4 linked regions of the Nothobranchius furzeri genome follow. The protein of the gene in region 1 interacts with the protein of each later gene in a pairwise test. Links are inferred from orthologs where the notes say so. Each region holds a gene or a part of one and is shown in the gene's direction. Other genes may lie near its edges. The genes, in order: shc1, insulin-like growth factor 1 receptor, insrb and shcbp1.

Region 1 (8,219 bases):
AGTGTCCAGAACAGTGAACGGGGTTTTAAAAAAGAAGATGAACCCAGTTGTAGATGAATGGCCATGAATGATCGACCGCACGCTTTATAAACCAAAAAATGAGCTGCTGCCGTTTTGCAGTTCGTTAAAAAAAGACGAGGCAGAGAGACTCATTTCTAAAAATCACTTTTTCTGGTTTCTGTAAACGTAGACCACCTTTGTGACTTCTGATTTTCTAGTTTCTGAGCGTTGACGCCACTCTGCAGGATGTTAAACAATCGTCTTTTTTTAGCAGCTGCACAGAATATTCAGGTTGTTTTTATGCAACTTTTCTTAACCTTGGTTGTTTTGGATATGTGACTGTAGTGTAGCTGTTTTTTATACGGCTATTAGGGAAACGATAATCAGCCTTTGAGATTACATCGCTTTTACGTGCCCTGGTTGTTGTCAGGGCGTCCAGCCAGTCTGGGATGTCAACATTGATTTGGTTTTATGGCCGACGTGATGCCGGTCAAACTTTGATCATCTCCTGAACCGTATTGATCTTTTCTAGTTGTTGTTTTTTCTCCTGCTGTCAGACAAACAAACAAGCAAACAAAAAAGTGTTTGCTGCAACAGCTAATTGCTTGCCATAGGGTTGTAAAAGAAAAAAAAACAGTAATCTCTTTGAAGATTCCCACCCTTGTCGGGACTTCTCGGCACATATCCTATGCAGGCATCTCTTTTAATGTCTGTTGCCATAGCAACGGGCAGCGGCGGCAGACAGAAGATGTAAAGTCTTTTTCTTGTCTTTTGACACCGCCTAGTGCTGGTCCATTAGCTAACTGTTCCATAGGCTAGAGTAGTCTGTGGTTAAGATAGGTTCTTACGATGCTTTTTAGGTTTTTATAAAACAAAACGTAGATTTTTTTTTACCGTTTTTGTATATTTTCAGCTGTGTTCAGGGTTGTTTCAGCTCCGCCCACTTTTAATGGCAACAGCCGTTCTCATCAGTCAGGCTGATGAGCTATTATCAGGCGTGACTGGATAAATTAGATTAACACTCTGATTTCTCTTGTTCACATCAGTGGGAGCAGCTGCTTGGCCCCAAGGCCTCTGATTACCACTCATTAGCTGTCCTGTTGGTGACGGTTCGTTACGCTTACTGTTCATGTGACGGTGACTCAGGAGGATTCCTCTTGGTGTCCAGGGTCATGCCCTTTGTAGTCACCTGACCTACACTGTGTTCTGTGTACTGAAACAAACAAAAACCAGAGGGTTGACTCTGCTCAGAGGGCCTTTCAGCAGCCCTTTGTTCAACAACACCTGGAGTTTCCTCCGTTTATCCGATCTGTTGCCTTTTTGAAGTGCTAATCTTCTCTCTGTGCTCATCTTTGGTTTCTCTAGCTGTATGACCGACTGTTTTGTTTTGAAGTATTCTGCGTCCCTTTGATGGTCTAAACACTGGGTGTCAGCCATACTTCTTTACAGCTTTCTGGAGAACATCCCAGCCTCTCTGGCAGTGCATTTACTGGATCCTTCCTGGTGCTTCCTGGCCAAGACCAGATGGAGGGATCGCTAGAACTGCTGGACAGTCCCTCTGTGGTGCTAGACTAATGTAGGCGACTGTTCCTTCTGCCATGCGTCCAGCGCCTTCTACAGCCTCGAGCGCTGTGGCTCATTTCTGAAATGACAACAGGAAGTGTTGGCATTACTGAGACATCAGTGCCATACTCACAACCTTAATTTGACTTGTCTGGATAATAAGTGTGTCATTTGTTGGTGATTGTAAAGGTTGGTGTGTTGTACGTTTGAATAATGCCTCTACAGCACTAAGGTGTAGGCCAGCCGGCTGGCTGAGGGTTGTAGGTGTGGCCTTGCCTCCTACTGAGGTCACTTTGGAGACTATTAATAAAACAGACTGTACTTTAGATTGGACTATGCAGAATATGAGATGCTTGTGGGCTTAACTTGCTTGATAAGCCTTAGAAAAATAGGGACGCTGTTCTGGATTATAGCACGGCGATTCGTTCATATCGGTGTCAATACTGTTCTCTCAGGTAAACAACTATAATCTGTGTCCATGCTAGTACCGAGTCAGGAGCTGAGTGCAGTCTTAACCCAGCGGGTTCATTTACAACACCAGTGGGTCTCCATTCAGGGAACCCTAAGTTGGGGGTCCAAGCCTGACCAATCAGGGCTTGTTATCGTCTCAACAGGCCCACCGGTAGTCATCGTCATCCTATGACCTACATTCTGCCGTGTTACATCACCACTGTGCTACTGCAGTGTGTCTCGCTGTACCAGACAGACATCTCAGACTCAACTTTACCACGATCAAATGGTGCTCCAGCAACAAAACACACCGTGACCAAGGTGGCCAGTTCTACAGAACACACGAACCAAGGCAGGCCATTTCAGGAACCTCAGTCAGGAACGGGCTCAGCTCTAAGCCCAGTCTTAATTACTAACTTTTCACTTTCTTTTGGTTTTATATCGGCGTCTAAAGCCAACATGTCTAGCCTCTAGCCATCCGCGGTCCTTAACGTAAAGAGGCGCAACGACAGGGCTCAGTATTTAGCATACAAGTGTGGGACTGTTAAACAAGGCAGCCTGGAGAACGGGCGAGCAATCGAGGGAGGGGGAGAGGGGGACCGAGAGATCGTTTGGAAGAGGAGAGAGGAAGTGGTGGCACGGGAGAGGGCGGAGGCGTTGGAGAAGCAGAGGCTGGCAGAGTACATCGTGTGGAGGAAGAGAGAGGACTTCCAGGATAAGAGAGGAGAAAGAGAGAAGGGAGGGAAGAGCTCAGAGAAGGGAAGGGAGTCTTCACCAGAAGTGATCTGGAAGAGGAGAGAAGAAGGAGACGTTGGGAGGGAGAGAGCAAGGGCCATTCAGAGAGGACATGAAAGCATCTGGACGAAGGGGGAGAGGGAGTAGAAAGGGGAGCCAGATTTAAGAATAGTCGTGAAAAGTTGAAGCGACTGCACGACTGCAGAGTTTGAGAGCCTCCTCTCTCTTCTTCCGTGGCTCTGCAGGTGTTCGCTGTATTATCGACCAGCCGAGGTTGTGTTTTATGTGTTGCTGCTGTGTTAGCGTGTGCAGCCCCTTCTGCAATCCCCTTGTTGGCTGCTAATAGGAATTTTACAGGCCTATGTCAAGCGTGATAGAGCTGCCAAAGGGGAGCTGCTACACACACGCACACACACTCGGTTTACACTGCCATGTAGACGCGTCACAAACTGATGTACACACCTTTTTGTGCAGTAACACACACACACACACACACACACACACACACACACACGCACAAGGAGCATTCAGAGACAATCACTTGTGTTGGTTCGTCGTGGTGCTGGCGACAGCTGAATAGTCGTCCGGCACTCGGAGACGATTAAGTTGGGACGAGAAATCGTTTAGCATCGTGGCTGAAGACCATCGCTCTACGGAGAGCTGAGAACGTGTTTTCGTCCATTCAGGGGAACTCGGCGAACAAAAGCAAAAAACACCAAAAGAAACTGATGACAACATGAGCTGTTCTGGTGCTCTACAACACTTTTTTCATCTGCTCCCCACCGCTGCTGAGGAGGCCCCACCTTTCCGCAGCACCTCCTCTCCTCCTGCTCTCAGTGTGGATAAAGCCAGTTGTGAAGCGGTTTGGTGCGGGCTGCCTGAGCGGCGGACAGATGGACGCAGCTCCTACACAGACAGATACTTGAGTGTCCTTCCAGAGAAAAACTTTGAGTCGTGAGACAAAAAGACTTGGCTTGAAGCTCTGCAGCCTAAGAGGACCTATAAATAATACATGATGGAGCTCATGCAGAAAACCAAGTACACCCACATTCGGAGTGAGTCGCTGAGCTCAACAGATGAGACCAACTCCATTCCGTCGCCGTTCCCTCCATCCAGCCCCGCCACCCCTCTGACTCCCTCCCCTGGTTTGCCTTCTTCCTTCTCCTCCTCGTCTCTCACTGCCATTTTGCCCCCCACCTCCCCGCGCCCAGCTGAGAACAGCCCCACCACCCTCTGCTCCTTCTTCCCCAGTATGAGATCCCTTCGTCTCGGGGTCACTGGCACTCTTCTCCCAGTGCCCAGGTTCTCAAACAGGTCTCAGCAGTCCCAGGCACCTGTTGAGTCATCTGGAGATGATAGGAGCAACTCTAGCTCCTCCCCTACTCTTCATCAACCCATTCCCACACTAACTGCTCCCTCTCCCCCTCGCCGACCTCCTCTGCAGGACATGAACCGGCTCGGAGGAGCGTCCAGGAGGGCACGGGTGGAAGGAGGGCAGCTGGGAGGAGACGAGTGGACGCGCCATGGCTCCTTTGTCAACAAGCCCACCCGTGGCTGGCTGCATTCTGACAACGTGATCAGCACCACGGGAGTTTCCTATACTGTTCGGGTGAGTGAGTGGCACACTTCAACTGTCCAGCCTGTATTTTTATTATTATTTTTTATTTATTTATTTATCTCAAACCATCGAAAACATGAAATTGCATATGCACTCCCCCATATTCCTGGTGCATACAAAAAAAAATTTTTTTTTTTTTAAATGAGGAATACGATAAACATATGCTGTTGAATGAAACAATACAAAACATACAATAACATAAAACCATTTGAGAGGGAACTGGAAGAAGCAAAAGCTTATCTAGTCCAGCCCCAATTCAGTTAATAAATCACATTTGCTCACATTAACAAATTTGAAAGAAAAAAAAAATTCTTTATGCAGGTCGTTCTATCTTCACCTTGCTAGTTGCTACATAAAAAGACAGTTACAAAACAATTGTTCACATGAATCTACAGAAAAAAGAAAACAAAACCAATAAACAACAAAAACAAAATATTCCATTTGAAGCCAATTACCATTTTTATCACTTGCTATTTACGTATGAGTCAATTATGAGTTGTTTATACAACATTTTAAATGATCTAATGTTTTTACATAATTTTAAAGTCACATCAAGTTTGTTCCACAGTTTGATACCACATACAGATACACACATACTTTTCATAGTTGTTCGGTATAATGGAAAAATGAAGTTTTTAACGCCTCTCAATTCATAACCCTCTTCATGAGTTTTAAACAACCTTTGCAAATTACACGGCAGTACACCCATCATGGCCCTATACGGTACAAGGACAGTTTTAAATTGAATTAAGTCAAAAAATTTGAGTAATCTTAAATTGTAGAATAATGGAGTTGTATGATCTCTATATCCAGAATTTATAATTATCCTTACCACTCTTTTTTGGAGAACACAAATCTTTAATAAATTAGATTTATAAGTATTGCCCCATACTTCGACACAATATGATAAGTATGGTAGAATCATAGTACAATAAAGTGTGTGTAGTGCTTTCTGTGGTAGAGAATATCTTGTTTTATTTATTATTCCAATGCTTCTGGCTAATTTAGAACACACATATTGTATGTATGGCTTCCAACAGAGCTTATGATCAATCAATATCCCCAAAAACTTAATTTCATACACTCTTTCAATGGCTATTTCATTAACAGTCAAATAGATTTCTTTACTACTTCTTTTATTTCCAAATAACATCAACTTTGTTTTGCTGACATTTAACGACAGTTTGTTTTTATCAAACCAATTCTTAAGCTCACTCAATTCATTCTGGACCTTTAGTATAAGTTGCTGTATATCTTCTGCTGAACACAAAATATTTGTATCATCAGCAAACATAATAAATTTAAATAATTTTGAAGTTGTGTAAATATCATTTATATATAACAGAAATAACTTTGGGCCAAGTACCGACCCTTGCGGAACTCCACAGTGAACTTCGAGACAGCTAGACTTGTGATAGCCCAACTGCACATACTGAGCTCTGTTACTCAAATAACTTTTTAGCCAATTGAGAGCTGTCTCCCTTATACCACACTTCTCCATTTTTGATAAAAGTATTTTGTGATCGACTGTATCAAAGGCTTTCTTCAAATCAATAAAAATTCCCAGTAGAGCCCTGCACGGGCCTAAAATCTGAGCCCGTGTCCGGCCCGGCCCGAGGGGGTGGAGCCCCAGCCCGACCCGGCCCAAAAAGGTTTTCAGGATTCTCTGGCCCGGCCCGAGCCCAAGCCCGACTTTTTTTTAACCAACTAAATGAAAACAAAGTGCGTCAATCCTGACCAATGTGTTAAAAGACGTGCAGGATCCGAGCGTCGCAGAAGCGCATGCGGGAAGCTTACTTCCACTGAAGCGAGTGTTTTCCAAACCCTGTCTCTCAGAGAGACTTGTCACTTAGAAAATGTTCCCTGATTATGAAACTTTGGCTGAATAGCGCTTGTTCCTGTCTCCAATGTGCGACACATCCAGGAGCCGTCTGAGGAGAATCCCAGAATCTCACATCCTCTTCAGCTCATGAGCGCATATGATTACGCACAAGCGTGACCCAACACGGTCTCACAGTAAGACTGGGTTGGACCTGTTCAGGTTTACGCAGACAATCTTCACATAGAATTGACTTACAGATATAAAATTAATGCAGTAAAATATAAAGCATTTTATTTAAATATCCATTCATTATTTTACAAGCACAGAGAGCCGCATCAGATGGATGGAAGAGCTGCGGGTTGCCGATCCCTGCTCTAGTTCAAGATATCATTAAAATTCCAAAAGTGCTGAAAAGATTAAAAATGGGGCTTTTCGTGCACATACAATACATTATGGTAGCCACCGGGATTCCCTGTCTTGAGCGCAACAAACCACAACACAGATTCAGAGACGTGCTGAGTTTGTCATCCAAAATGCTCCGTTTTATAACTTTTGAATGGCTGATCAGATTCAAATAATTCCAACGGTTCCTAAAAGTACATCAAAGCAGCTTTCCAACGATCTATAGCATGAAGCAATCAGAGTTAGATAAAATATCGCTAAGAGGGGAAATCCTGCTGTACAGCCTGATTGAAACGGAGCGCAGCGCTGCGGTGAAAGCGGATAACCTATAAAATGTCATGTTGAGGACGCAAACTCAATACATCTCTTTTATTGTGAGGTAATAATTTCTCCGAGTTTTGCGGTTGCGGGCAGGAGTAGACATGCACGCTGCAGGTGAGGGCGGGAGTGTAACACACACGTTGCGGTTGCAGGCTGTAATGGTCAGAAATTCAGTGGGAGCGGGGTGAAGAAAACAGTCCCGCACAGGGCTCTACTGCTGCGTTTAAGTGTTTTAATTTTTTTAATGATTTTGATTAAAAATAAAAGGCGCCCGGCCCGGCCCGTGTCCGAGGTAATTACACAGTCGTTGGCCCGAAGCCCGGCCCTCGGGCCGTCGGGCCGGGCCGACCCGAGGGCCTAGGGCTTCAGTGCAGGGCTCTAATTCCCAGAACATATTTTTTCTGATCAAGCGATGTGGATATGTCTTCAACCAATTCCATTAGAGCTTGTGCAGTAGATCTACCTGATCTGAAACCATACTGACTGTCTAATAAAATGCCATTTTTTTCTACAAATTTTTCCAGCTTATCATTGTAAATTTTTTCCAATATCTTTGTATCACGCAAAGTGTACAATTCCTTTCTACCTCAGCTTGTTTTCTCAGTCTGCCATTGCTAAAATTGGCCCACGTGTAGGAAATGTCTGGTCTGAATGTGTCCCCTTCCTGTTTCCTGGGCAGTACATGGGTTGTGTGGAGGTGCTACAGTCAATGAGAGCACTGGACTTCAACACCAGAACTCAGGTCACCAGGTGAGAGTAAACACAACTTTCTCCGCCCTCGTTTTATCCTGCAGTACCGGCTTAAACCGGCCTTAACTTCTGTACGTTCTTGGTTCTAGGAACCAGAGTTCCTGGTAGTCATTGAAGTTGTCTCATTCAAGATTTCTATGCAGTTTCTAAAAAACCTTGAAGTGTATTTCTGGACTTTGGCTTTTTTTTTTTTTTTAACCCCATTTTCAGTCCAGCTCTTGTACCGAGAGAGCACATTGTCCAGTGTTTGCCTAAATGATTGGGAAAGTAGACAAGCGTAGGATAAAGTGAGTGTGAGGCCTAAAAAACTGTCAATAGCAGAAGAGCGGTAACTGAAAGTCACGTCTTTAGGGGAGGAATCCATTAGACATAAATCTGGACCTGAGAGATTCGGCTCTTATGAGTCACAAGTTTTCAGCTAGCAGCTTTATATAATCCCTTTGTTGGAAATCAGAAACCATTTTGTTTTAAACTGTGTCGTCCATGGTAGTATTTTTGCATTCAGCTTAAAACAAAGGGCAAAAAATTCTGTCTTAATGAACCAAACTGGTTCTTCAC
Region 2 (8,295 bases), on another chromosome or scaffold:
TCTTATTCGGATCAACTTCACCTCTACCTTGTTTTGCCAACGGCATGGCTGCAGTTACTTCTTTCCTCCTCAAGATGGCGCCAATTCCGTGCATTTTCCATAAAAAGAGTTCAATGTTAATGTAGTAGATTCACCTCGGCTTCAGAGGCCATACCAAATGATGCAATATTTCAGCAGATAATTTAGAAAAATACTAATCATTAATTGAAACGTGAATATTTTCTACTTCTCTCACACAGTTTGTGAACCGTGTGTCCATACTTGCTGCTACTTTTACTGCAGCCTGAATCTATTTTTCTAGTCTCCCAGCCTGTTGCATCCCCACATTATGATGCTTCCATTGCCATGTTTTACCACAGGGAGGTGATTTATGCTTTCCTTCACATGCTGTTATGTTGTGACTCCATTTTAGATATTTAAACCTGTTTGTTTCAGAGTTGATGACTCATGGCATTTTAAATAATACCCAGGTGTGAATGTTAAAACAACTCTGTTTCAACACTTCATTAAGTGTCGTATCAGTTGGTATCTCGGTTTTTCTTTACAATCAGGGACGGACTGGGACTAAAAAACAGCCCTGGACTTTGACTAGGCCCGGCCCAAAGAAATCGGCGCGCAGAAATTCGGCAGCAAACATATGTGGCCAAACCATCAAAATTATAGCAACAGCGCTAATGTTGCTATAATTTAACTATATGCTGTATTAAAAGCTGTATTACTGATAAGCTTAATAGTTTATGCAGTAATTAATCTTCTTACTGCACTAATAAACCACATCTAAATGAAAATGCAACATTGCAAATGTAACTTCTGTATTTAAGATTTTCAAAGTTTGTGAGCATTAACTGTAACACCACTACCAACCTTTTTACGTAAAACCACAGCATATTTCTTACTGCATGTGGCCTTTTACAGCTAAAAGGTTGAAATTTAGCTGTTATCATAAAATAAAATTGCAACCTAAACATGAATTCCTAACATCAATCCTTGCAAATGTTTCTCCTCTTACATTCCATACTTACTTCCCCTGGATCTGCCTGTGGAACCAGCGCATCTTTCTGTCCCTCATTACTGCTGGCATGTTGCTGTGTGCTTCTTCGCTGCTGTGAACCTGCTGCGAGGTGCTGCTGCTGGCTGTGCTGCTAAATATGTCGGTTAATTTGTGACATTTAGAGGCTTCAGCATCTAATGCCCGCAATTTTTTCTCTTGCCTTCTCTGCCCCACCATTGTCTTTCCTTTTAAAACGAGCGGTCGGGTTTTGCATCGTTTTTTTTTCTACCACTGCCTTTGCCTCCTCTCCGCTTCAGCTTCTTCTTCTCCTTGCCTGGCGGCCACAGCCAATGTAGCTGGCATCCAACTTACAGGTGCAGTGCTGCCACCTAGAGTGCTGGAGCGTGAAAGAGCTTTCGGGGGTGGGGGAAACAGGTGTTGAAAGCGGTGGAGAGTGGTGGGCCGGCCCACCGGCCGTCCTGGGGTACCGGCCGTTCTGTGATTCTCCAGAACCCACAGATGGCCAGTCCGCCCCTGTTAACAATAGAATAAAACATATTTCTAGATTCAATGTTAAATGCGATTTTTAATTTACATTCAATTAATTAAGTTTATTATAATAAAAAACAAGAATTTAATTATTTGAAATAGGTCTAAAAGGTGGCAAAATACAAAAAAGACAATGTTAAGGGTTGGAATATTCTACTGGATCTAGGGAAACATTCCTGGAGCTTTTAAAAGATATTAACCGATCATCAGACCAACTGGATCCTAAATGATCGCACCAACCATGAAAGGGCAACCCCCCATAAAGCATTTTCACGTGCGCAGTCGAGCACGCTCAATCCTTGTGGCACTCCAATGTGCATTTGTTAGCAGGAAAACAAATCTGATCCTGGATCAGCATCACGGATTTGCTTTGCACAGTCTCGTAAAAAAAGAGTGGTCTCGGCAGAGTGGAGTTGAGAGGTCTCACTCTGTCTGATTTTCAAAACGCAAATAGGGGATTGTTTAGGGCCCCGAATCAACACAGAAATGTAACGTTTTTGTAAAACCACGTTATTTTCGTCTATTCTTTAATTATTTAGTAACATCAAAGCCCTACTCTCTGTAACTAATGAGGACGATTTTTTGTAATGATTTCAGTACAGAAATAATAAAGACTCTTTGGTATGTTTTATGTAAAATTAAGGGGTTATTGTGTGGAATGTATGCATGAAACGACATCAGGAGACAACTGGTGGTGATTAAGAGGCCGATCACCATGGCAACTGGTTCCCTTCGGCGTCTGAACTGCAGTAGTAGCGACGCCCTGCTTTTCCTCAGATTTGGAGTGATACATCTTTTCGTCACAGACGATCTCTGGCCACGGCGCCGTGTTTACAGCGAACGCAGAAGACTGCAGACTGACCGAGGGAGACCGTGCGTGTACCTGTGCATTAATCTGTCCAGTTACCGAGCCCGTTCTGCTATCTACCTACGGAGAACGACACGCAGCAAACATATTTGGCCTCAACCGAAGCAACAGGGGCGAATAGGCGCGTTGTTTTTGGTTTGCGGGGAGGTGAATCGGGGCCACCACAACAACGCAGTGTGTGTTGACCGGCTGAGGAGGAGGAGAGGAGGCTGCGGTCTGCAACCAGATTTTATCCTGGAAATTTCGAAAGAGACGTCGTGTCGTTAACACAACCAGGCCGTGTTTAAACGTGTGTCCCGGTCCACCTTTTCCAAGTCCGGTTTCAGGGGTGGTCTCGTTGCTGTTCCCAAAGAGACCATCCAGCAGCGGCGGCACGTTGACTGTTTTTTCCTCCTGATATGGAGTGGGAAGATGTGGATTACCGAGGAATCCCCACCGCTAGTTTAGTCGATATGGTTTCATTGAACACTTGGATGCGGGGCTGTGTTTGGCAAGGATAAGGTGAACTATGAGTACACGCTGTTTGGACGGCGGGATAAATTGGTAATTTAGGACTGGACTCCCATTGGGAAACGTGAGACAGCGTCCCTGCTCTGTTTGTTGTAGCTATTAGCCCCATTAGCCGGCTAACGGCTACAAGGCTGCAGATTAAAAGCCGTTTTTAACCATTCCGACCATCTTCCTCCAATATTAGAGTAAAAACAAGATTTCAGCGGGACTTGGGTTAGCAGGGATGAGGTGTGGGATGGAAGGGAGCCGCTTGACCTTGTTTTGGGGTCTGATGCTGTGTCTGTCCTGCCTTCGGCCCGCCACCGCAGAGAGTAAGTACTGCTGCTCACTTGGACACGATGTTTTTCCACGCTCCAACTCAAATTACACCCAGAAAACAGGATTGGCATGCATCTCAGTCCAAACACCAAACAAATTAACAACCGAGTCTGTTTTAAAATCACGTTTTAAATGTTCATAATTGAACTGGTTAAGTTCAGGTGCTGTTAAATTAGACACAACACATTTGCATGGAAACTGGTGTCAAATGTTCACAATAATACCGAATTAACTGTAATATCGCAATAATTGCGATATGTCGTGAAGCACATTTATATTCAGAGTGTGCGCTGTAATTTATTAAGTGACAGTTTATTGAGCAGTTTTATCAATGGACTGTCATCCCGCACAATTTATAATAGAGACTAAAAGATGATAAATGAGTTTCAAGTAATAAAAGGTGCGACCTGCAAGCTGCAGTCATAGATAAAATGTTTAATTTTTATTTATAGTTTTGTTATTTTATCATAAATATAGCAGTGAAATATGGTGATATAAAATAAATCAGTTTTTGAATGGTGAAATAATAATTTAAATAATTTTTTACTAGTTTTTTCTAAACTATTCTTTTGTAAGCAAATACAACCACACAATGTCCTTGTATAAACAGCCCTAAAAGAAAAAATATTTCAGCTAATATTATTTGACAAATTCTAATCACCTTTTCCTTAAACGTGCTCCAGATGATTCTACAATCTCTGTTTTGGTAGTATCGCACCTCTACTCTTATTAGTATAACTTTAATTTGAACTAATCTCATATAGAAGTTTTCATGTAATAAAATGTTGTGAAATCCAATCTTTATTGCAGTGGTAAGATTTAACACACTTTAAATGAGCGTTGCGGTTTTAATATTGAAACATATTTGTTTAGATGTTATCGTGAGTCAGATTAGCTTAATTTTAAATTCGTCCTGAGTCATGCGGTGGTGAAAGTCACCCAGGTTTCACTGTCATGCCTGAGTCAGCATTGTGATGCGTTTGAGTTAAGAGATATGTTAACGGTATCTTACTTCCACAGGAACCGCTACCAGGAAAGGTTGGGACATTTTGACTGGGTCCAGTGTGAAATACGCTTTCAGACTAGGGAGGGGGTAAAGGGGAACTCTGCATCTGTTTACCATCTTTTCCTACTTTTCACAATTGGATAGATTTTATGTTTTTTGCTTGTTCAGCTTTACAGATGTTTCTTATGTTTACATTTTTACCTTCAAGATGGATTAAACCGGAGAAGTGTATGAACTTTACCCAGTAGTCTCAATATACCCTTTTCTCACATTTTTCATTTCTTTAGCCAAACAATCCATCTTGACCTTGAATTGTGTTAATGGCCGACTGATGCAGCTAATTATCAGACACACCAAATCTTCCCAATAGGCAAATCATTTCAGCCAAAAGCGCTCAGGTTATTAGGGCTGAATGTGCATTTTTGCTTCGTGTAAGCTGCGCTTCTCTTCGAAATTTCAACAGCTCAGACAAGTGGTGACCGGTTTGACCTAAAACAAAGAATATATCTTTTCCACTGACAGAAAATGACAAGACGTATAGTCTGATGGCCTCAGACATCTTGTTAAACCGTCACCTTTGATTAACTCAAAGCTTCTTTATTCATTCAAACATTTGTTTTATGTGTTGCCACCTGAAATGTTTCCAACCTTAAACTGGGCTTTCTGATTCATTCTCATTCATCATGACGAACTGGGGAGGTGTGGTTTACTGGGTTGAACCAGGGTCTGGGTTTTTAAATAGAACAAGCCAAAGAACACTCACAAGCAAAACAGACTAAGTTCTGTTGATTTGGAAGAGTGTGGAGCTTGTGGACTGTGTGTCATGGGGTTTACTGTTCGCCCCGGCGGTTACAGAACCTGGGAGCAGCAGAGAGGTTCTCCCATCCTGGTGTTTCGTCTAAACCTGGCTCAGAGCTGGCTGAATGTTTCTGGTGTGGCTAAACTTTGAGAATTCTTGCTGGTTTGCAGCAGCGGGCCGGACTACAGGGCTGGTAGCAGGTTCGTCCCCTCCCAGATCAACCCGGACACGTTCCCTTCCATTCTGCTGAGAATGATCTTTTGTTTAGGCTTTCCAGTGAATTTTCTTCTCACCTTACCTCTCAAGTGGAAAAGTATTTATGAATACGTTTTCCCCCGCGGGGATCCTGTCATGAACATGATGGAAATGAGGGGTAAACAGTCTTACTGCAGTCTAGTGGCAGTGAGAGATGCGCCGCTTGGAGAGCATATTGGGTCGTATTTTGTGTTTTATGGAGTTACTTGTAGATTTCCTCTGATTGTCTGTGGACTGTCTGGGTCCTGCAGCCAGCCCCGGAAAGGTTATCAAAAGTAAATATGTGATCTGGAAGCTCATCAAAGCTGCAGAGATAGGTTTGTGTACTCAGCTGTTTGAAGTCTGTCTATGTGGAAGTAGAGGGAGGGGGAGTTAATAAGCCACCACACCTGCCACTTGTGTTTTCATGTAGCTGGTGCAAAGATGTACATTATTAGTCTCCTGTTTAGGATTGTCTCAGGAACAATCAGCAGCAGCTCTCATGAAAGATAGCCATGCCGGTGCTGCAGAGAGGCCACAGTGGGTGAAGCATCAAGTCTGTGGTGATGTAACGTCACTCGGCAGCGTGTCTTTTTACAGGCCCGCGTGTTGGTGGTGTATTAACAGGTATGCAGCCCGCTGAAGGCTGCTGCTGACTAGAAGATTATAGAGAGAGATAAAAGAACCACGCAAGTACACCCTCTGCAATAAATCACAACAAATACCCTCATTTCTTTGGGAGAAGCACATAAACACATAGACAAACAAAAATGTCCTATACCATTCCTCTGTATTTGCATAGCTTCAACCATTAAAGAAAATTTATATTTATTATCAAGTTCAGGAAACATCGGCTTTTAAGAAATCCTTTTAAACTTTATTTAAAAAAACCCTTTTGTTTCTAGTTTTGTAAAATTCATCCGGAAAAGGCCGTCTTTCTCCTTGTTTGTTATTGTATAAACGGGCTAAATCACGCAAGATTTAGCTATTCTCCTGTGATTTTGCGGGGGTAGCAGCATGAAATACATTTGCAGTCACTACGTGTCTGAAAAGCTCCTGGTAGGAAGCGCTGCGTCGCTGAGGTTCAGGTGAAACGCATGTATTGTGTTACACATCCAGAGTAAAGCCCAGTTTAATTCTAAAGAAAAAAACCACGTCATAAATTTAGGCACAATGTATTTTGGAAATCGAGAACAAGCAGCTGCTACTTGTAGGAACACCCTTGGGCTGGGCCGTATTATCTACTGTAATACTGGTTTAACTTTTAACACAGTAAAAAAGTATCATCTTCCCATATCCATGATATGATGACGTGACACCTTTATGTTTGTGTTAAGTGACTCGGAACTCAATCTGCTTGTTGGTTTTCATCAGAAACACATCGGTGTGCTGCTTGTAAAGAGTTGTCGATGATGTCGCTATAAAATGAGTTAATTTAGTTTCTTAGGTCTTTCCATTGTAATACTGAGATTTCAACGAAAAAGATCTTATGTTGAGAAATAATCTACTTAAGGCTGTTTTGTTTAAATCTTAAACAACTTTATGTCCAGTCTCAAATTGTGTGTGATCGGTTTGCTCTGTCTCTTTGTGTTGGTGACAGCTTTCATCTACTTTCACATAAAACTTAGCTCAGTATCTGTAAAACTGACTCAGTTAAATCTTTTTTTTTTTTTTGTGTAAATGTTGATGTTCATTAGCTGTAGTGGACACAGACACAGGCAAAGCCATTATTCCTGGTCTTTTGGTCGTACACAATAGTTGCAGGAACATGTGGATGAGATGGAAGCTCTCTAGTTTCATGCATGTCACAGTCTGGTGTAGGGTTGGGCATCGTTTGATTTTGAACGATTCCTCGTTTCGATTCCGATTCTTTCAAGACATGACATGTTTTACATGAGCCGGCTAACCACAGGTCCTACTTGATGAAATAATCTTAACTTCAACATGAATTTTAATTCTATGAACAATAACATCACCTTCATTTAGACAAAAACATGTTTTGAAGAAAAAAGAAAAAGACTTGCAGCACAACCAGTGTGTTTGTTTTTGACCACAACCAAAGTCTGGAAGAAGCCTCTGGGATGAGAGGCTAAATGTCTCCAACATATCCAGAAACGTCCAGCTGTTTTCAGCTGAAACTCTCAGGATGATCATGTCCAGGATGACTGAGAACTACACCTCCATGCTGCAGCAGCATTCAGTCAGAACAGAAAGTGAAACTTAAACGTAGCTGCTGTCAGTAACAATCTAACAGATTTTAAACATTAAAACTCTCAACTGAAATAGTTAAGAAGGGAAATAAAAAATGTTATTTATTATTATAATTATTTATTGTGGCAGAAGCTGGTGTGGTCCACCACAGAGAAACTTCTCTAGCATGATGACTTGTGAGAATACATGTATTAGCCGCTTACAGACGGAGCAACATGTCGCTAGCATAGCGGCTAATCGCTAGCATAGCAGTTTGACCAGTTATATCGATATAAAGTCATCTTGTATCTTGTTTAAAAATTATACCGATTTTTAAAACATATCGATTTATTGCCCAGCACTACTAACACTTAAAAGAAAAATCCTAAACTTCTAATAATTTCTGAGATCTTTGCTTTATTCTTGTGATAATAATGACACTAGCAGAAGGCTGTGGCTGAGTTAGGATTAAATGACAGCCTACCCAGCTGATGCATCTCCTTCACTAACCAGCTAACTACAAACCTTTCCTATAACCTGTGGGGACATTTTGGCTTTTCTAATCTCCTCATGTTCATGGTATATGTGGAGGAGCATACAGGGAGTGCAGAATTATTAGGCAAGTTGCATTTTTGAGGAATAATTTTATTATTGAACAACAACCATGTTCTCAATGAACCCAAAAAACTCATTAATATCAAAGCTGAATGTTTTTGGAAGTAGTTTTTAGTTTATTTTTAGTTTTAGCTATTTTAGGGGGATATCTGTGTGTGCAGGTGTTTATTACTGTGCATAATTATTAGGCAACTTAACAAAAAACAAATGTATAC
Region 3 (7,620 bases), on another chromosome or scaffold:
CGCACGCACGCACACACACACACACACACCGATGACTTCAGAAGATGTCACACTGACCAACATTGCTTTCATAATGATTTACCTTTACTGTAACCATAGCTACTGCTTGTATAACCTAAATACGTCCTCACATACCAAAACCTAATGATCTGTGTTATGGCCCCTGTCTCTCCGTCTCTGTTATGTCCCTGTGTGTGACTGTGTGTGCAATACCTGGGTAGTACCCAAACAACCAGAGAAACAGAGATTTGTTCTGACCAGATTGATGAGCTAACAGCTAGTCCCATCCGCGTCTTTTTCAGAAATGCCATGGTGGTTAATAAAAATACTGTTTTATAAACTCCAGTTAGATAAAGACAGAAAATGTTATTAAATTCGGACTGGAACTGTGTAAAACTTAGTTAGCTACCTTGCTAAGCTGCTCATTTTCTTTGCAACAAGACAGAATTCGCTTTGAAAAGTTCAAATCTATTCCCCTAATGAGCGCTTAAGATTAAAGATCATTGTTGGAAACTTCCCTCGGGCTGAGTCCAACCCTCTTAAGTCGAACAATAAATCTGAATAATAAACGTTCATTGATCTGCGAGCGGTGACTTCATTTATTTGTAGGGACCAGATGTTCCTGCTTGGATCCTCTTTGGGATGTTCTTGACTTTCCCTTCAGACGCTTTTCATTAAACAGATTTAGCTAATGTTTTCTAATGTATCTACACTCGTGTACTGTTTGAGGTGATTTCGGCCTTCTTTTTTGGACAACCTGACAACGTTCACGCACACTCACAGCTGGTCGGGTTCGGTCAGGGTTTGGCCGAGACCGAACCTTGAGCGTCAGCTGTAGACAGTGCTCTGGATGGCTCTAACAGACCCCGGAGTCACAGGGTTCAGATAAACACCGGCCCTTTAAAAAGCCAGCCTGTCTGCCTGTGAGTCTGTGTTTTCAGTGCAGCAGCCCAAAACATTCTCCCTTTCTGTGCCGCAACTGGAGCGTTACTTTGGAGAAGCTGGATATAGCATTTTCCATGTGGGAAAAACAGACAACCTACCCTTCAAATTTTTTGTATTAGTTATTGTTTGGGGAGCTTGTTACTTTTGTCTCCTCTCACACAAAAGCTCAGAGAGGAACCGACGAGTTGGCTTCTGACTGCGGTGATTTATTCAGAGTTTGATGAGATGGAAACTGAGGCGCCAGGAGTGTGAAAGACCATTTGGATCCAAGTGGCATCACTTGGACTAAATAACGAGGGTGTAGATGTTATAGGGGGGAAAGTGGGGGTGTTGTTCTGGTAAGGGTGTGAAGATGAGACCGAGGTTTTCACATGAACAGCAGTCTGCTCAGCTTAAAACTATTAAATGCTGATTTAAATCCTCTACTAATCAGGCTCTTGCCTGAATTGTCGCCTTTTTTTTAAAATTATTAGACAAATGTGACCATAACTTTTTCCTTTCTCCTGAGTGATAAATCCCTGTTGCATGTGCAGCTTTATGCAGAACAAAATAAAACGGATCATGTCCTTCAGGGGGTTTTAGGAGACAAAGTGCGTATTTGTGAATAAAGCATCCCACTGCTTGCCGTACAGCGTGTTCACTCATCAGACGACAAGATGTTCTTATCCTGACCATCCCTGTGTGAAGACCTGATGGCGCAGAGGGTGTGTTTGGGTATGTGATGCAGTGCATGTTTGCAAGGGGGAGGATGTTACGTACCAAAGAGGCTGTTGGGAACTGCAGCCATGTTGTTTTTGTGTAGTTTCTAAAGCACTGATGTGGAGAAGAGCAAGTTGAATCTGATGTTATTTGTTAGATGATTTTTCCAAACTACGTCAGAGAAGCTCTCTCCTTTTTGATTTTGGAGTCGTCGTTCATTCAGGTGCCGCTTTGCGTTTTTAGACGTAACGCGAGGAGAAAAGTGGAAATCTGCTTCGTAGATTGAGCCGTGGAGTTAAATTTCCCAAGCCTTCCTACCAGTTGGTTTTCCTTGTTCCATTTCTGATAACTGAACACAAGCCTGTTGATGTTTTTCTTCCTTGGTCTTAATGAATTTGTCATTAATCTGTTCTCCTTCTGTGTGTGCAGGCTGATGTGTAAGCCGTGCGCGGGCCCCTGTCCTAAAGAGTGTAAAGGAAATAAAACCATTGACTCTGTGACTTCGGCTCAGGCTTTACGAGGCTGCACCGTTATTGAAGGCAACGTGATCATTAAGATCCGAGGTGGAAGTAAGTAGCGTTGCACGTGTCTGTGACTTCTGGTCTTTCATCCTGACCTCCTGTCTTTACTTGAACTCTTGCAGATAACATAGCAGCTGAGTTGGAGGCCAGTCTGGGACAGATTGAGGAGATCAGAGGTTACCTGAGCATACGCAGAGCCTACGCCTTGGTCTCCCTCTCCTTCCTACGAAAACTACGCCTCATCAAGGGGGAACAACTCGAAGGAGAGTAAGTTCCTCCCCTTTTACCTTCAGCTACAGTTTTCTATCGTTCTTTATGTTTAACTTCTTTATCGCCTTGTTTCTCCTTAGTATTTATGCCTTCTACGCACTGGACAACCAGAACCTCCGTCAGCTGTGGGACTGGTCCAAACACAACCTGACAATAGAGCACGGTCGTACGTTCTTCCACTACAACTCCAAGCTTTGCATGTCTGAAATCACCAAGATGGAGGAGGTAACTGGAACCAAAGAGCGCAACCAGAAGAACGACATTGCTCTTCGCACCAACGGAGACCAGGCTTCCTGTAAGAACCTCTGGAGCCTCTACTAACACATCCACCTCATCACTCCCTTTACATTTGTATTATTTTTCTACTTCAGTAACGTACCAAGAAACAAAAACCCATGAAACCTTAAAATCTTTACCCACAAGCTTAAACTTCATCCAGATTCAACTTGCTGGATGTGTCTGACGAGTTGTTTTGTCTTAGGCGAATCAAAGAGTCTGAATTTCACCCACGTTAAGACGTCACACAACATGATTATGTTGAAGTGGAACTCATTCTGGCCCTCGGACTACAGGGACCTGCTGGGATTTATGGTTCTCTACAAGGAGGCGTAAGTTGGATTCCTACACGCAAATGGCCCTGGAGTATAAACATTACACTTAATGCCCCCATCTTTGAAATGATGATGCTGAATGAGCTGGTTTAAACTTGGCTGCTTCTACTTCAGTCCGTACAGGAATGTGACAGAGTTTGATGGACAGGACGCCTGTGGATCAAACAGCTGGGTGATCGCAGACGTAGATCCACCAGCCCGCTCCACAGATGGCAAGAAGGCCGATGATCCTGGGCACCTGATTCGTCCATTGAAACCCTGGACGCAGTACGCCATCATGGTCAAAACCCAGCTGTCTGCTTCTGATGAGCGACAGGTTTATGGAGCCAAAAGCAAAATCATTTATGTCCGCACTAATGCCTCCCGTGAGTTCAAATCTGAGATTTTCTGCTTTTGTTTGGTGTGGTTCAAACTGTCCTAATCTCTGAACTGAAGGCAGCAGGATTAACCGTTTCTTTTTCCTCCAGGACCTTCTGTACCTCTGGACCCCATCTCATCCTCCAACTCCTCCTCTCAAATCATCCTGAAGTGGAAACCGCCAAACAGCCCCAACGGCAACATCACCCACTACCGGGTCATCTGTCGTAAACAACCAGAGGACAGTGACCTCTTTAAGTTTGACTACTGCTTACAAGGTTTGTCTCCAGCTGGCTCGGCCGCTGCTTGTCTCCATCTTTTGTCAGGCTTTCGCCTCACCCATGCTCCTCCTGTCCAGGGATGAAGCTTCCATCTCGAATTCCAACCCACCTCGACCTCGAAGAAGAGCAGAAATGGAACCACACGGATGATCCCACCTCAGAGGGCAAATGTTGTGCCTGTCCCATGACAAAGAGCCAGATAGAAAAGCAACAACAGGAAATAGAATACCGCAAGACTTTTGAGAATTACCTCCATAACGAAGTCTTTGAGAGCAGGTAAGCAAGTCTAGACACCTCAGGGTGAAGATCGCGTTTTAGCCGTCTGTTTTATTTTTGGAGAAGCTGCAATTTCACCGTTCTGGTCAGGGTGCAGCATTTACAGCTCGGTAACAATGTAGCACACACAGCGCACCCTAAAGGGGGTTTACAACTGACCTTGTGTTGGTGGTGGGTGTCATCTCAGCCAAGGTTCTTTTGTGTGTGTGTGTGTGTGTGTGTGTGTGTGTGTGTGTGTGTGTGTGTGTGTGTTTGTGTGTGTGTGTGTGTGTGTGTGTGTGTGTGTGTGTGTGTGTGTTGTGTGTGTGTGTGTGTGTGTGTGTGTGTGTGTGTGTGTGTGTGTGTGTGTGTGTGTGTGTGTGTGTGTGTGTGTGTGTTCTCTGTAGACCCTTGTTTTTGTACTGAACATCTCTATGGGGGCTCAGAATGGGAGGTTTTGTGTATTTGAACTTTAATTCTACACACACACACACACACACACACACACACACTGTCATTTTTTTCCTATCTGCCTCTTTGGGGGAGTGATTACCGTGCCCATTATCATCCACGCCGGTCAGAGAAGCAGTCATGCAGACAGCCCTTTGGAGACACAAACACCGCCTCACACACTCCTCAGATTCATTTTGATCCTGTGATTTTGAACTGGTCTTTGGTCCAAACAACCATCGCTGTTCTTTTTTAGTCCACTAAGCAAAGAAATCATCAGCTTCAACCCAGTCCTCCACCTCTCGGCACGCCAAGGTGTTAGTTTTTGATGGAGCTTTGAGCTGATGGCATCCGTGGTTTTAGTGAAAACTGCTGCTGGTGGAAGAAGTTTTGCTCACTGGCGCCACACAGCGGAAAGAGTTGTTTGCTCCACCAACATTGAATAAATGTCATGACCTCATCACTTGTTGGTTTCCCTTTATAGCTGCTCCATTTTTCATCTGCAAAATAACATTCCTGTCCTCTGATCTCAGCCCCTTGGTCTTGGATCTTATTCATTTTGATAATTTCTGTTTTTCATCCAGGTCGCCCCGTGAACGGCGCTCAGTGGACAAACCGGACACAACACAGTTTCCCTTATTTTTTACAACGATATCTAGTCTGCAGCTTGGCTCCACCACCGCCTCATCTACAGAGGAAGACGAGAACGAAGAGGGATCCAAGGTCTACAACACTGAATGAAATCTGTTATAGATTAGTGTTTGCCTACAAGTTCAACTAAAACGGCTTTTAAGTTTTTTTAGAAAAAAAAAATTAAAACACCTTGCAAAAAATTATTTTTGTGTAAAAGAGAAATGCTTTTTATCTGTATATATTTTGAATCCCATCCCATAATTTTCCTGCTCAGGTGGAGCTGAATGTTACCTCTAAGGAGTCAGCAGTCATATCCAACTTGCACCATTTCACCAGCTACACCATCGAGATCATGGCCTGCAACCACCCTGAAGACCCCAAACGCTGCAGCCTGGCGACTTACGTCAGTGCCCGAACGATGCCAGAAGGTGAGATATCAAACTATTTTTGCTTCATCTAAACATACAGATTTACTTTTAGTTTGATTTTGATCAAATGACACCCGCTTGTGCATTGGTCACATAAAAAAACACAAAGTATACCATCATCACGGGTGCAAAATGCTAGGTAGAGATCAGTTTGCTCAAATGTTTCTGTCTTTGTGTGGCTCTGGCAGAAAAAGCAGACGATATCCCAGGTCCTGTGACTCACGATGTTGTGGTCGCTGAACCTCCCTACGTGTTGATTAAGTGGAACGCGCCTCGATCACCCAATGGACTCATCATCCTTTACGAGGTTTTCTACAAGAAGGTCGGAGACACAGAGGTACGTGTCAACAACACGGTAACATGGAGTGCTCCTGACGTCAGGCATAAACCTTTACCCAAACAACGCAGATTAAAACTACACTACACACACATCTAATTAAGGACTCCCCCACCTTCGATAATTTGGATAAAACACACAAAACACATACCGACTACAAAAAAGGATACAAAGCATGCTGAGGAGACAGCAGGCCAGAGACAGATGTCTCCGTTTGCTCCTCGCTGAGGGTGGGTCCAGGCGTGTTTTAGGCCGATTGTGAACTGGGTGCTTTAGGGCGGAGCGAGGTAGAGTGGGATGAGACAGCTGTTGTAGAATAGCGCCTCTCAGCACAAGGATGAAATCAGAAGGGAAAGAGGAGCATGCACCAAAAGAAAAACAAATGGCTGTGGCCGTAACTGAGAAACTTTGTCAAATCTCATTCTGAATGCCTTCCTGTGCTCATCTCGGACTCTACTCGATGAGATCTTGGACTGCCGGACATCTAAGGTTTTGAGTAAAGGTGACGCCTGGCTCAGCTCACACCATCGGATCAGTCCGGACGTTTCAAAACAGAAATGGGAGCTGGACCTGGGTGTTGGATTGTCAGAAAAGGCCTGGCACAAGACGTGAGACACAGTATTATTTAGCTCAAAGTGGTGCACCATTTGCTTTGGTCCAAAGACAGACTGCAATAATGAAGCCAGACTTAGACCCAACTTGTTCTGGACCTGCCTGACACGACAGGGATATTGGAGGCCCAATTTTGATGAACTCTCTAGGATTTGTGCGACCACTGTGCACCCTGACCCCTTGACTGCTCTGTTTGTGGTGGTCACAGTGGACGATACAGCAGATGGTAGCCAACAGCACATAATAGCTTTATGCTATTTGTGAGCCATCCTGTCCGAGTGGAAAGATGCTCGGCCTCAACCACTTTATTGGAGAAATTATGAATCATTTGGACCTGGAGAGGATCAGACATGGTCTGAAAGGGTCAGCTGACAATTTTGATGTTGTGTGGCAATTGTTTGTCTCCTATTTTTAAGAATGTACCATAAGACAATTGGTGATTGTTTCTATTACTATGTAAACTTGTTTTTGTGTACACACTAACGCTTTCTAGTGGGTGGGTGTGTCCGTGTTGAACTTTGACTGTGTGTGCAACAGCATGTGTGTTCAGTGTTGTTGTTTACTTGCAGCAAATGTGTAAATAATCTCACTGCTATTCATTGCTGCACCACCATCAGCAACTCTGTTGCTATAGTAACAGAAGCAGAAGGCTCTAATGCAGCAGTGATGGAGGTGCATCTCCACTGCACTACTCTGAAAGCATTGCAAACTTTAGCTCTTTCAAACAACCGATGCATTTTTCATTTAGGTTATTATTGGTATAATTATGATTATTAAAAAAAATATCACTGGATGGGCAAAAAAAATGTGTCCATTTACTATAAATTCTACCAACTTCTCCATCAACTATAAAACCAAGCTGTTTTTCTGACTAGTATAAAAGAAACCAAACAAGTGACTCGGGTGAACAGCAGAAGTCAGACTAGATAGTCACAAAAAAATTTTCTACCTCATAGGTCAAGAGAATTATTGAAATTCAGTGAAGCATTTCCTTCTCACCTATTGGTGTTTTTAAAGCTGCGTACATGTTCAGCATATTTTGCTAAATGACCATTTCCATATTCTCTTTGCTAAATCCATTTTTATGGTTTGGGTGAAGTAGCTGCTTTTCCTGTCGCCCTCACTGATGCTAAACTGTGTTTTTCATACGTTCTTCCAGGTTCACACAGTTTGTGTGTCACGGCCGGCTTACGTCAACATGAGCGGGACCAAGCTCCACCT
Region 4 (8,272 bases), on another chromosome or scaffold:
CCACTGATCTACCAGTGGGGCCGTAGAAGAAGAAATTAGCCAATAAGTGCCCTCGGTTTTCATGACGTATCACGTTACTGACGCGCATCTTGCTGTGAGAGATGGCGGATCAACAACAAATACAGAAGAAAAATAAAAGCGACAAAACAAGAGAAACCCCGGACAAAAACCTCACGAGTATGGGAGCACTTCACTAGATGCCTTGAAAAGACCGGTGACCTACAAAATATGCAAAAACCATGGCACGACGGAAGCACGACGTCCCTAAGTGAACATTTGAGACGAAAACGTGGGGGCTGATGCAGCAGAGGAATGTCCGGTAAGTAACAGAAAATAAACAAGCTAACGCAGATCACATTTGGGACTTAGTGTTAGCTGAGTTCGTTATAGTGGATGTTAAACATGTTTTTTTTTTTTTTTGCCGCGTCAGTTTACGGTGTTCTACTTCTGATTGACTAGATGCAATCGTGAATCTCCTCCGTGTTGTGAATCATGCGCTTGCCAAATTTAGCACGTCTGTTTATAAGAATGTTCTCGTTAAGAGAAAAACGGCACAAACCCATAACTGTGTTCCTCATTCAAAAAAGGACAACTCCGCGGAGAAAAATATACAGACGAGCTGTGTCCAGGTGAATATAACGCGGCATAGTTGTACGCTTTCAATTTTTAAATACAGGAGAAATTCAGAAAGTCCTTTTTTTAACTATTAAAAGGCTGTTTTACTATCTAACGCTGTAAAACGCCTCACAACACATTTTTGTCAAAATAAATGATCACTGTATATTGTTAATTAATTCAAATAATGTAATATTGATTTAGTGTTGTAGTGTGTGTGCTGCTTTATTTTATATGTGTACTTAATTCAGTCTATTTGTGTTTCTTATGCAGAAAAAAACAAGCAACGATGGACAACTACATGGGGAACAAGACACTCACCCCCAGCAATTCATACCACTTACAAACTCTATTCCAGATTCTACATTATTTTTTATGGAATTTACCTCTTATATTTTGATGCCAAAAAGTTATTCTGGACTGATATTTTGCACTGTTTAGCTCATTTTACACTGCTGACTGTGGTCATGTGCAATAAAATAGATTGTAGTCAACTGCACAATTCTCTTATGTTTTTCTTTTTCTTAACTGAAATGTATTCATCACTTGTATAGGTTAAATAGCTAAACAATAACAAACCGATTAATCGAAAAAATAATCGACAGATTAATCGATTATGAAAATAATCGTTAGTTTCAGCCCTAGAGTTATCCCCACATTTACCTGCACCGCTGCTAGGGCTCACTGTTGGCCCAGAGGACAACGTAAATGTGACTCAGCTGCTTAACTGAGCTATCTCCCCACGAGCACACAGGTGCCCGTTTAAAGGCCGTGGAGCCAAACATCTGACCAGCATCGGTGGCTCCAGAAAACATTTAGACTTGAGGGGTCATGTGGGTGACAGCCACAGTGCTACAGATAAACAGAATAATAACAGGGAGACAACCTCTGATCACCAGGAAACAATAAAAAATAACAATACACCTTATGAAATCTACAGAATACATAAGGACCAGTGACGGCTTCCTGACTCGTCCCCGGACCACAATTTCAACCCGAGAGGATGAAATAATTTAATGTTTAAAGCTGAGGTCAGTCTGACTCAGTCGTTCAGTGTTTTCATTAACATCAGTCCCTCTCCAGTAGGTGGGCTGCCACTTAAAGCCTATGCTCCGCCCCCGTGTTGAGTCAGCAACTAGCTTGAAGATCTCCCAGGGCAGTCACATCTGCAGTCATGCCGACTGAGGACTGGCCTTGTGGGACACCAGTGGGAGGGATGTAAACATGTGACCACGATGAGCCAGGCTCTGTTCTGTTGGCTAAAATGGACCCAACTGCAGTTCATGAGAACCAGAAACAGTAGGTTCTGATAAGAAACAAGCAGCCAGTAGTTTTATGGGGCCTTGTCCTCTCGAGAGGACAAAATGCAAAGCTCAGATCATAAATGTAACTGCAGCTGAGCTGATAGGCAAACACAGGTAATGACCCGAGCACGGTCCCGCCTCAAATCGTCTGCATCCTGATGTGGCAGTGTGAGCGTCGGGTCACCGTGACTCGACTGGTCCTGGCTACTGGTTAGCGCCCGTGACTCTCACCCGGAGTCTGGGGATCGAATCCCGCCCAGGCCCTCGTTTCTCCACCCTGCCACACTAACCAAGGTTGATTCAGTCCTGGAGACATTTGGACACAGTGATCCATTTCATGCAGACAGCTTCTGACCACAGGTCCTTCCCGAACAGCAGTTTCTGCAGGTCACCTTTGAAACGCTTGTTTTCTGCTCCGAGTCGTTTACACGACCTGTGGACTCTGAGCCTTTCGACTGGAGACCTCAGCTGCAGCAGTCAGCTTTGGCTCCTCCCCGTGGCCGTCGTCCTCTCAACACATTCCTAGTCCTAGTAAGGTTTTCATAGTAAAAGTGCATTTTAAAAACATTTGCTGTCATGCTGTAAAGCTGCATTGATGACGGTGTTGGAGTTGATTATCTGCAGCTGACCTCACATGAACAGACGAGCCTGAAGACTTTCACCAACTTTATTAAAGCCGACAGATGAAACGGGTCATGCCACGTGTTCCTGTCAGAGATCAGGGACAGAATCAAACAGCAACTCTGAACGTGGTCGGGCTCAACAGCGAGCTGCTAAAGAGGATCTGCTCTTTAAACTTTTACGTGTTTAGTTTTTGTGGGAAGCAGAAACTTTTATTTTCTTTCATACAAGTTGGTTCAAACTGTGTGATGTGGTTTCATTTCAGACAGAAGCAGTCGAATGCTGATGTGTCTGCCACCTCTGATTAGCAGTAGCTAATAACAACAGCGCCATCAGCAGGACTGGTGTAGAGCTGCAGGTAGCGAGCACGCTAGACGTTGTCAGCGCCGTTTCTCAGGGACGATTCTGAGTGGTCCCCGGGTTTGTGCCTGCTGAGCTCTGCTTGGACAGTCATCCAGATGTTGTGAACCTGTCTGCTGAGCTGTACTGGAGTCGGGACTGGCCTCTGTGCTCTCACCTGGTTCTGGGTGTCGTGCTGCAGCAGGGACAGGATCAGTGACTTTCAGTCATCCTCCTGTTCTGAGCTTCTCCTGTAGTTTTTTGTTTTAGTCTTCCTGAAGGAGGTGAAGCTAAGGCTGGACTCCTCCATCGTCTGCTCTTCTGCTGGCTCCACACCTCCACTCACCTCCTTTTCTTCATCCTCCAGTACGGTTGGTCCTCTGGTCTCCTCTCTTCGTTTGCCTTCATCCTCCTCCTCCTCCTCCTCGGCTAAATGGCTCAGCTGTAGCTCCTTCTCCTTTCCCTGCTGCACTGTGATGAGATCTTTTGGTGGTCGGTTTGGTCTAGAGAAGATCATCTTCTTCTGGATGTTGCAGGGGGGATCACGATTTGTCTCTTGTCTCAGGCTGGACAGGAACTGGTGGGCTGTCCTCCTATTGTCCTGATCGCTGCTCTCAGTCACGTCCTCTAGACTGTAGTGGGTCCAACGCTCCGGGTGCGCCAAGTAATCAGGCACACCTCTCTTCTTTGGTGGTGTTGGACAAGTGGGCATAGGACAACTCGTCTTCCTGCGGTTTGTGGAAGTCTCCTGATTGAGACTGGGCGCAGTCTTCCTGTCAACAGTGTCCAGACAGTCAAAGATGCTGCGGCTGCGGTAGGAGAAGGCGGAGTTCCCTCCAGTCAGGGTGAACGTAGCGATAGGAGCTGGACCACTGGCCTCCACCTCCTCCTCATCATCACTGTGGTCCAGCTCTGGGTCAAAAGGAGCCCTGCTGGGTGCTTCTTCAGCTTCAGACTCGTGGCTGGGTGACAGCTCAAGCACATCGTCGCTCTGAAACACCCCACCGTCGTCTCTGACCTGTTCCCGCTCGGACATCTTTACACCAACACAGAAGCTCAGTGAAATAAACCAAGTGGTGATGACGAGAGGAGGCTCATTCTGAAAGGACAAAAGATCCACAAAAAGAATTACACACCTTAGCACATGCGTTCTCCCCACAACCTCCATGACAGGCTGGAGTTTAAACGTCCATGTTCCCAGACTGAAGTTGGCGCATGTTCTGGTCTCTGAGCGTCTTTAATCTGCTACAACACCTAGGCAGGATTACTCTAACGCTTTTACTTTATGAAGTAACGGTGATTGTTGGGAGGAATCCCTCTTTCTTAAACGGGACCTGCTCCGTGCACCTCTACTCTGGTAAATACGGTAACACACCTCTTAATGGAGGAACAAGCATTACTTTAGGAAACTGCCTGACAGGTAAAACCAGACATATAAACGTATTATAAACATAAGTAAAACCACATTTTTGCTGTTGTTTACTCGGATTTTCGACATTATTTATTTTCCCTAACACGTTTCTTACAGCTTATTTCAACCACAGAATTGTTTTTGTTTTAAACCTCAGGTGTTAGCAAGCTAATGCGTCGCTGTTTAGCGACTTAGTTCGATTATGATCAGCATCCAAAGAGCCCGTTCACGTCACGTTGTGTTTAAGACGTCTGTTTAGCTGTTCGGTTAAAGTGAAACGGATAGCAACGTTTGCTTTTAGTGCATTTACCTGCTAGCTGCTTCCTCGGGAACATTATTTTGGCTTCTTCTATGGTTCTTGTTTGTGGGTGTGCTCACAAAGGAGCTGCTGCCCCCCGGCGGTTCCTCGTGTGAACGACTTCTGAAAGATTTGTTTTAGGCAGAGCTGAATGAGTGAGTTAGATTAAGCTGCGAGTTGATTGAACAGAGATGATGAAATTAAACAGTAACTTTCTAAACCCGTGGGACGGTGCATGAGGATAAATAATCTGTTTAAGCTACTAGACCTTGACAACACGATAGGGGGCGGCAATTCAGCAAGATGGAATCCAGACTGCCGTCCAACCGCCAAGGAAGAAGAAGAAAACTAACTCCTGATTGGCTGTCGACTTTCTGACCGGGATATTTTAAAAGTGAGTGTCTGACGCTATTGATCGCGTTAGTGGAACAGAGCTGAGCTGGGTGTGTGCGTTTTGCTCCGTTAAAATAAACATCGGTTAGTCTCCATGGAGCTAGAACAAGGGGAACCAACGTGTAGAGTTAGTGACATGTCGGACATGGTGGTGGTGGACCTAGACTCCACCGTTACAGCCGAGCTGGAGGCTGGAAGCGGCTCCTCCGAAGCGGACACAACTCAAGGTCTGGACTAGATGTTTAGTTAGGCTAATGCCAACCAGCTGTTGGCTGTGTGTTATGCTGTTGTTTATTAAAAAAAGGTGTTCTGTTGCTGCTATATTACTTTTCTTGACCACGCACACGGATTAATAAACACTCACATCCAATGCACTATAAACGTTTATGTTTAATCTTTGTATACTTCAGGCGCGCAATTTTCTCATATCAACGTATGTACATATAAAACTCTGTGTATATACATATATTTATCAAATTTAAAAATTTACATACACATACCTTTTATTTTCTACACACTCACACATATTAATACTTATATTTGTAGATGGCTGCCTGTTTAGTGAACTAGTGTACTTCTCCGTTGTTATAGTTTTCATTCTTTTGTTGCTTTTATTTTATACTGTCCACTTTCTGCCATGACTGTGCAAATGCCCCACTTTTGGGGATAATAACCTTAACTTGTTCTGTTCAAGAGTTTATTAAAAACACCCAAAAGAGGAATGATTACAGTTCAAAACTGCTGAACAAGATCATTACATAAAAGTAAGTTTATGATGTTAAAAACAACTATAATGTTTAAATGGTGCAGAACTGAGTGTAATAACATTTGTAGTTGTGATGGGTAAACAGCGTTATAACATAATTCATTATGATCTGAAGTATTTTCTACAGCTTGTTGTGTTGAAACATGAGAAATGGATTAAAAACAAAATGGATCCAATATTTACACCTTGAAGAAGCTATTACAGTCGCCACAAACTCTTCTAACAAATGCACTAAACTCTTTTAATATATATGCCAAGAACATGCTTATTCTCCAGTGGCGGCAAAAGTTATTTTAGGTTTTGTGTGAAAAAACGTAGAGGACTACAAATGTATGTCTCACTAAGCTGACGTCATCAAACCAGACACACAGAAGAGATTAATTTAGAACCAACATACAGATGCCAGAGCAAGACGGAGCATTAAACCAGGAGATAACCGCTAAAATCTCCATGTGGTGAGTAGCAGCTCCACCAGTGGAGACGTCGTAAAGTATATGACTTCAAATGATCAAACTGAAGTACAACATACGTGCTAGTGAGGCAAAGCGGACCAGCATCTTCTATCGCCTCGTTCAGGGACCCATGAGCTGATCCAAGGGGAGGAGCCTTAGGCTCCCTTTATGAATGATCTTAGCTAGATGAGGGCTAATTATTTATGAGTTTCAGTTCTAGGAGTCAAATTCTGGAGCAGTCTTAGTAACCTAGTGTCTGGAAGCACCGATATGACATTTGTGTGCCGATACCAACATCACTGTTGTGGCCGATAACCGATCAGCTGACATTAATGCTGCTAAAAGCAGCAGATTTTGTATAGAATGAAAATGATTAAAGCTGAACTTTGTGTGTGTGTGTGTGTGTGTGTGTGTGTGTGTGTGTCACCCAGAATAACATGATGTATCCCTGCAGTCCTGTTTCAGAATGAAGACAAAGAGGCTGCTGATGAGGAGGAGGAGGAGGATGATGATGACAGTGGCACAGACCACTTAAGCGGTGAGAAGTCGGGAACCCAGCTGCAGAGGTGTGAGCACCATGAAGGAGGGCGCTCAAGCCTTCCGGACACCTTCCAGACCAGCAGCTTGCTGTTCTACGAGCGGTTCAAGGCCTACCAGGACTACATGCTTGGTACCTGAAGCTCCAGCATGATCACTGTGTTTGGGTCTATTTTGACTGGTTGTTCTGTGTTTGTGTGTGTGTAGGGGATTGTAAGCCCTCAGAAGTGAAGGCTTTCACAGCAGACTACCTGGAGAAGGTGCTGGAGCCGTGTGACTGGATGGCCTTATGGTGCACAGATGCGTTTGACGTCCTGGTGGAGGTGAGAGCAGTTGCATGTGAATCTAAACTCCATTACTGCAGGTTTTCTGCAGCTCTTCTGTATGATTCTGTTCCAGGTGACCGATTTGGACCTGAAGAATCTGAAAGCCTGGGTGGAGCTCTCGCTGCCTCTGAAGTGTGTCACCAGAGGCTGTGAGATCACTGAGGAGGCCATGCTCTCTCTGCTAGAAGCCACTCAGTACAAAGTTCACCTGCAGGAGCTGCAGGTGGTATATGATGAGTCTGGGGACTTTGTTCAGACCGCTCTGGCTCTTGAACACCTCCGGTAGGTCTCTGCTGAATGGGACTGCACCGGTTTCACGTGCTTGGCGACAGTGTTTTCTCTTTTGCAGTTTTTTCTATAAACACATCTGGAGGGAGTGGGATGAGGAGGATGAAGATGACGACTTTGACTATTTTGTCCGCTGTGTGGAGCCTCGTCTGAGACTGTGAGAAGATCCAGAGCTTCTGGGATAAGTTCTACCTGTGAATATTTGTCCCTATTCCTGAATCACATTTTAAAATCTTTCTTAGTTTCTACGACATCCTGGAGGACAGAGTCCCTGTCGGCCTGGTGGCGGAGTACCGCTCCTTACTGGAAAACTGTTCCAAGTGCTTCCAGCAGTTTTCACAGCTACGCAGCAGCCTCAGCGTTGACTCCGACTCGGAGCTGGACAACGTGTCCATGGTGGAGGGCCTGAAGCTCTACGACCAGCTGGAGACATTCAAAAGAAAGCTCCGCATCATTGAGAACCCCCTGTTGAGGTACTCTGTCCTTTGTCCTCCCTCTCACGTCCCTCCCTACTGTCTAATAACCATCCCTCCACACATGAACCCGACTCTCCCACAGGTATGTCCTGGCTTACAAAGGAAACTCCTGGCAGCAAAACCTACAGAGCCGTGGGCTCAGATCATCGGGTCTGAAGGTGGTTCATGTGGTGACAGAATCCTGCTGCACCGTCCTGCTCCAGTCCCTCCTCAGTGCACGGCTGATGCCTCTGTGCTCGACTGAGGACACCGAGATCCAGGTCAGTATCTCCACGTCTACGAGTCATCCACCTGGACTCGCTCCTGGTCTGAAACTCACGGTGCTAGTTTTCTCCAGTTTGTTAAATCCTCGTGGTTTCCGTCAGTGAACATTGCTTCTTCCTAGAGCTGCTCCGATCTGATCATGTGATCACAAATTGGACCCGATCAAGTGATTTTAAATGAAT

What was found.
Region 2: the proteins of shc1 (region 1) and insulin-like growth factor 1 receptor interact in a two-hybrid assay, tested with the Homo sapiens proteins (4 studies listed by BioGRID and IntAct). The link is inferred for Nothobranchius furzeri from reciprocal best matches to the Homo sapiens genes SHC1 and IGF1R.
Region 3: the proteins of shc1 (region 1) and insrb interact in a two-hybrid assay, tested with the Homo sapiens proteins (2 studies listed by BioGRID and IntAct). The link is inferred for Nothobranchius furzeri from reciprocal best matches to the Homo sapiens genes SHC1 and INSR.
Region 4: the proteins of shc1 (region 1) and shcbp1 interact in a two-hybrid assay, tested with the Homo sapiens proteins (2 studies listed by BioGRID, with this or other methods). The link is inferred for Nothobranchius furzeri from reciprocal best matches to the Homo sapiens genes SHC1 and SHCBP1.

Annotation. Positions count from the first base shown.
Region 1 is NC_091745.1:78,655,092-78,663,310, forward strand, and holds the start of shc1 (SHC-transforming protein 1), read left to right. Parts: upstream 1-3,542; 5' UTR 3,543-3,760; coding exon 3,761-4,357; intron 4,358-7,590; coding exon 7,591-7,661; intron 7,662-8,219. UniProt on the Homo sapiens protein: Signaling adapter that couples activated growth factor receptors to signaling pathways. Participates in a signaling cascade initiated by activated KIT and KITLG/SCF.
Region 2 is NC_091749.1:29,602,776-29,611,070, forward strand, and holds the start of insulin-like growth factor 1 receptor, read left to right. Parts: upstream 1-2,914; 5' UTR 2,915-3,141; coding exon 3,142-3,229; intron 3,230-8,295. UniProt on the Homo sapiens protein: Receptor tyrosine kinase which mediates actions of insulin-like growth factor 1 (IGF1). Binds IGF1 with high affinity and IGF2 and insulin (INS) with a lower affinity. The activated IGF1R is involved in cell growth and survival control.
Region 3 is NC_091748.1:58,174,579-58,182,198, forward strand, and holds part of insrb (insulin receptor b), read left to right. Parts: intron 1-2,073; coding exon 2,074-2,213; intron 2,214-2,287; coding exon 2,288-2,432; intron 2,433-2,515; coding exon 2,516-2,730; intron 2,731-2,916; coding exon 2,917-3,043; intron 3,044-3,160; coding exon 3,161-3,411; intron 3,412-3,513; coding exon 3,514-3,681; intron 3,682-3,761; coding exon 3,762-3,960; intron 3,961-4,973; coding exon 4,974-5,112; intron 5,113-5,296; coding exon 5,297-5,450; intron 5,451-5,638; coding exon 5,639-5,787; intron 5,788-7,558; coding exon 7,559-7,620. UniProt on the Homo sapiens protein: Receptor tyrosine kinase which mediates the pleiotropic actions of insulin.
Region 4 is NC_091749.1:8,721,783-8,730,054, forward strand, and holds the start of shcbp1 (SHC SH2 domain-binding protein 1), read left to right. Parts: upstream 1-4,039; 5' UTR 4,040-4,094; coding exon 4,095-4,299; intron 4,300-4,600; exon of another isoform or gene 4,601-4,698; intron 4,699-4,751; exon of another isoform or gene 4,752-5,075; coding exon of another isoform or gene 5,076-5,208; intron 5,209-6,653; coding exon 6,654-6,869; intron 6,870-6,943; coding exon 6,944-7,059; intron 7,060-7,135; coding exon 7,136-7,344; intron 7,345-7,411; coding exon 7,412-7,507; intron 7,508-7,592; coding exon 7,593-7,823; intron 7,824-7,908; coding exon 7,909-8,086; intron 8,087-8,272. Other genes in the region: U5 small nuclear ribonucleoprotein TSSC4, read right to left, coding at 3,103-3,915. UniProt on the Homo sapiens protein: May play a role in signaling pathways governing cellular proliferation, cell growth and differentiation. May be a component of a novel signaling pathway downstream of Shc. Acts as a positive regulator of FGF signaling in neural progenitor cells.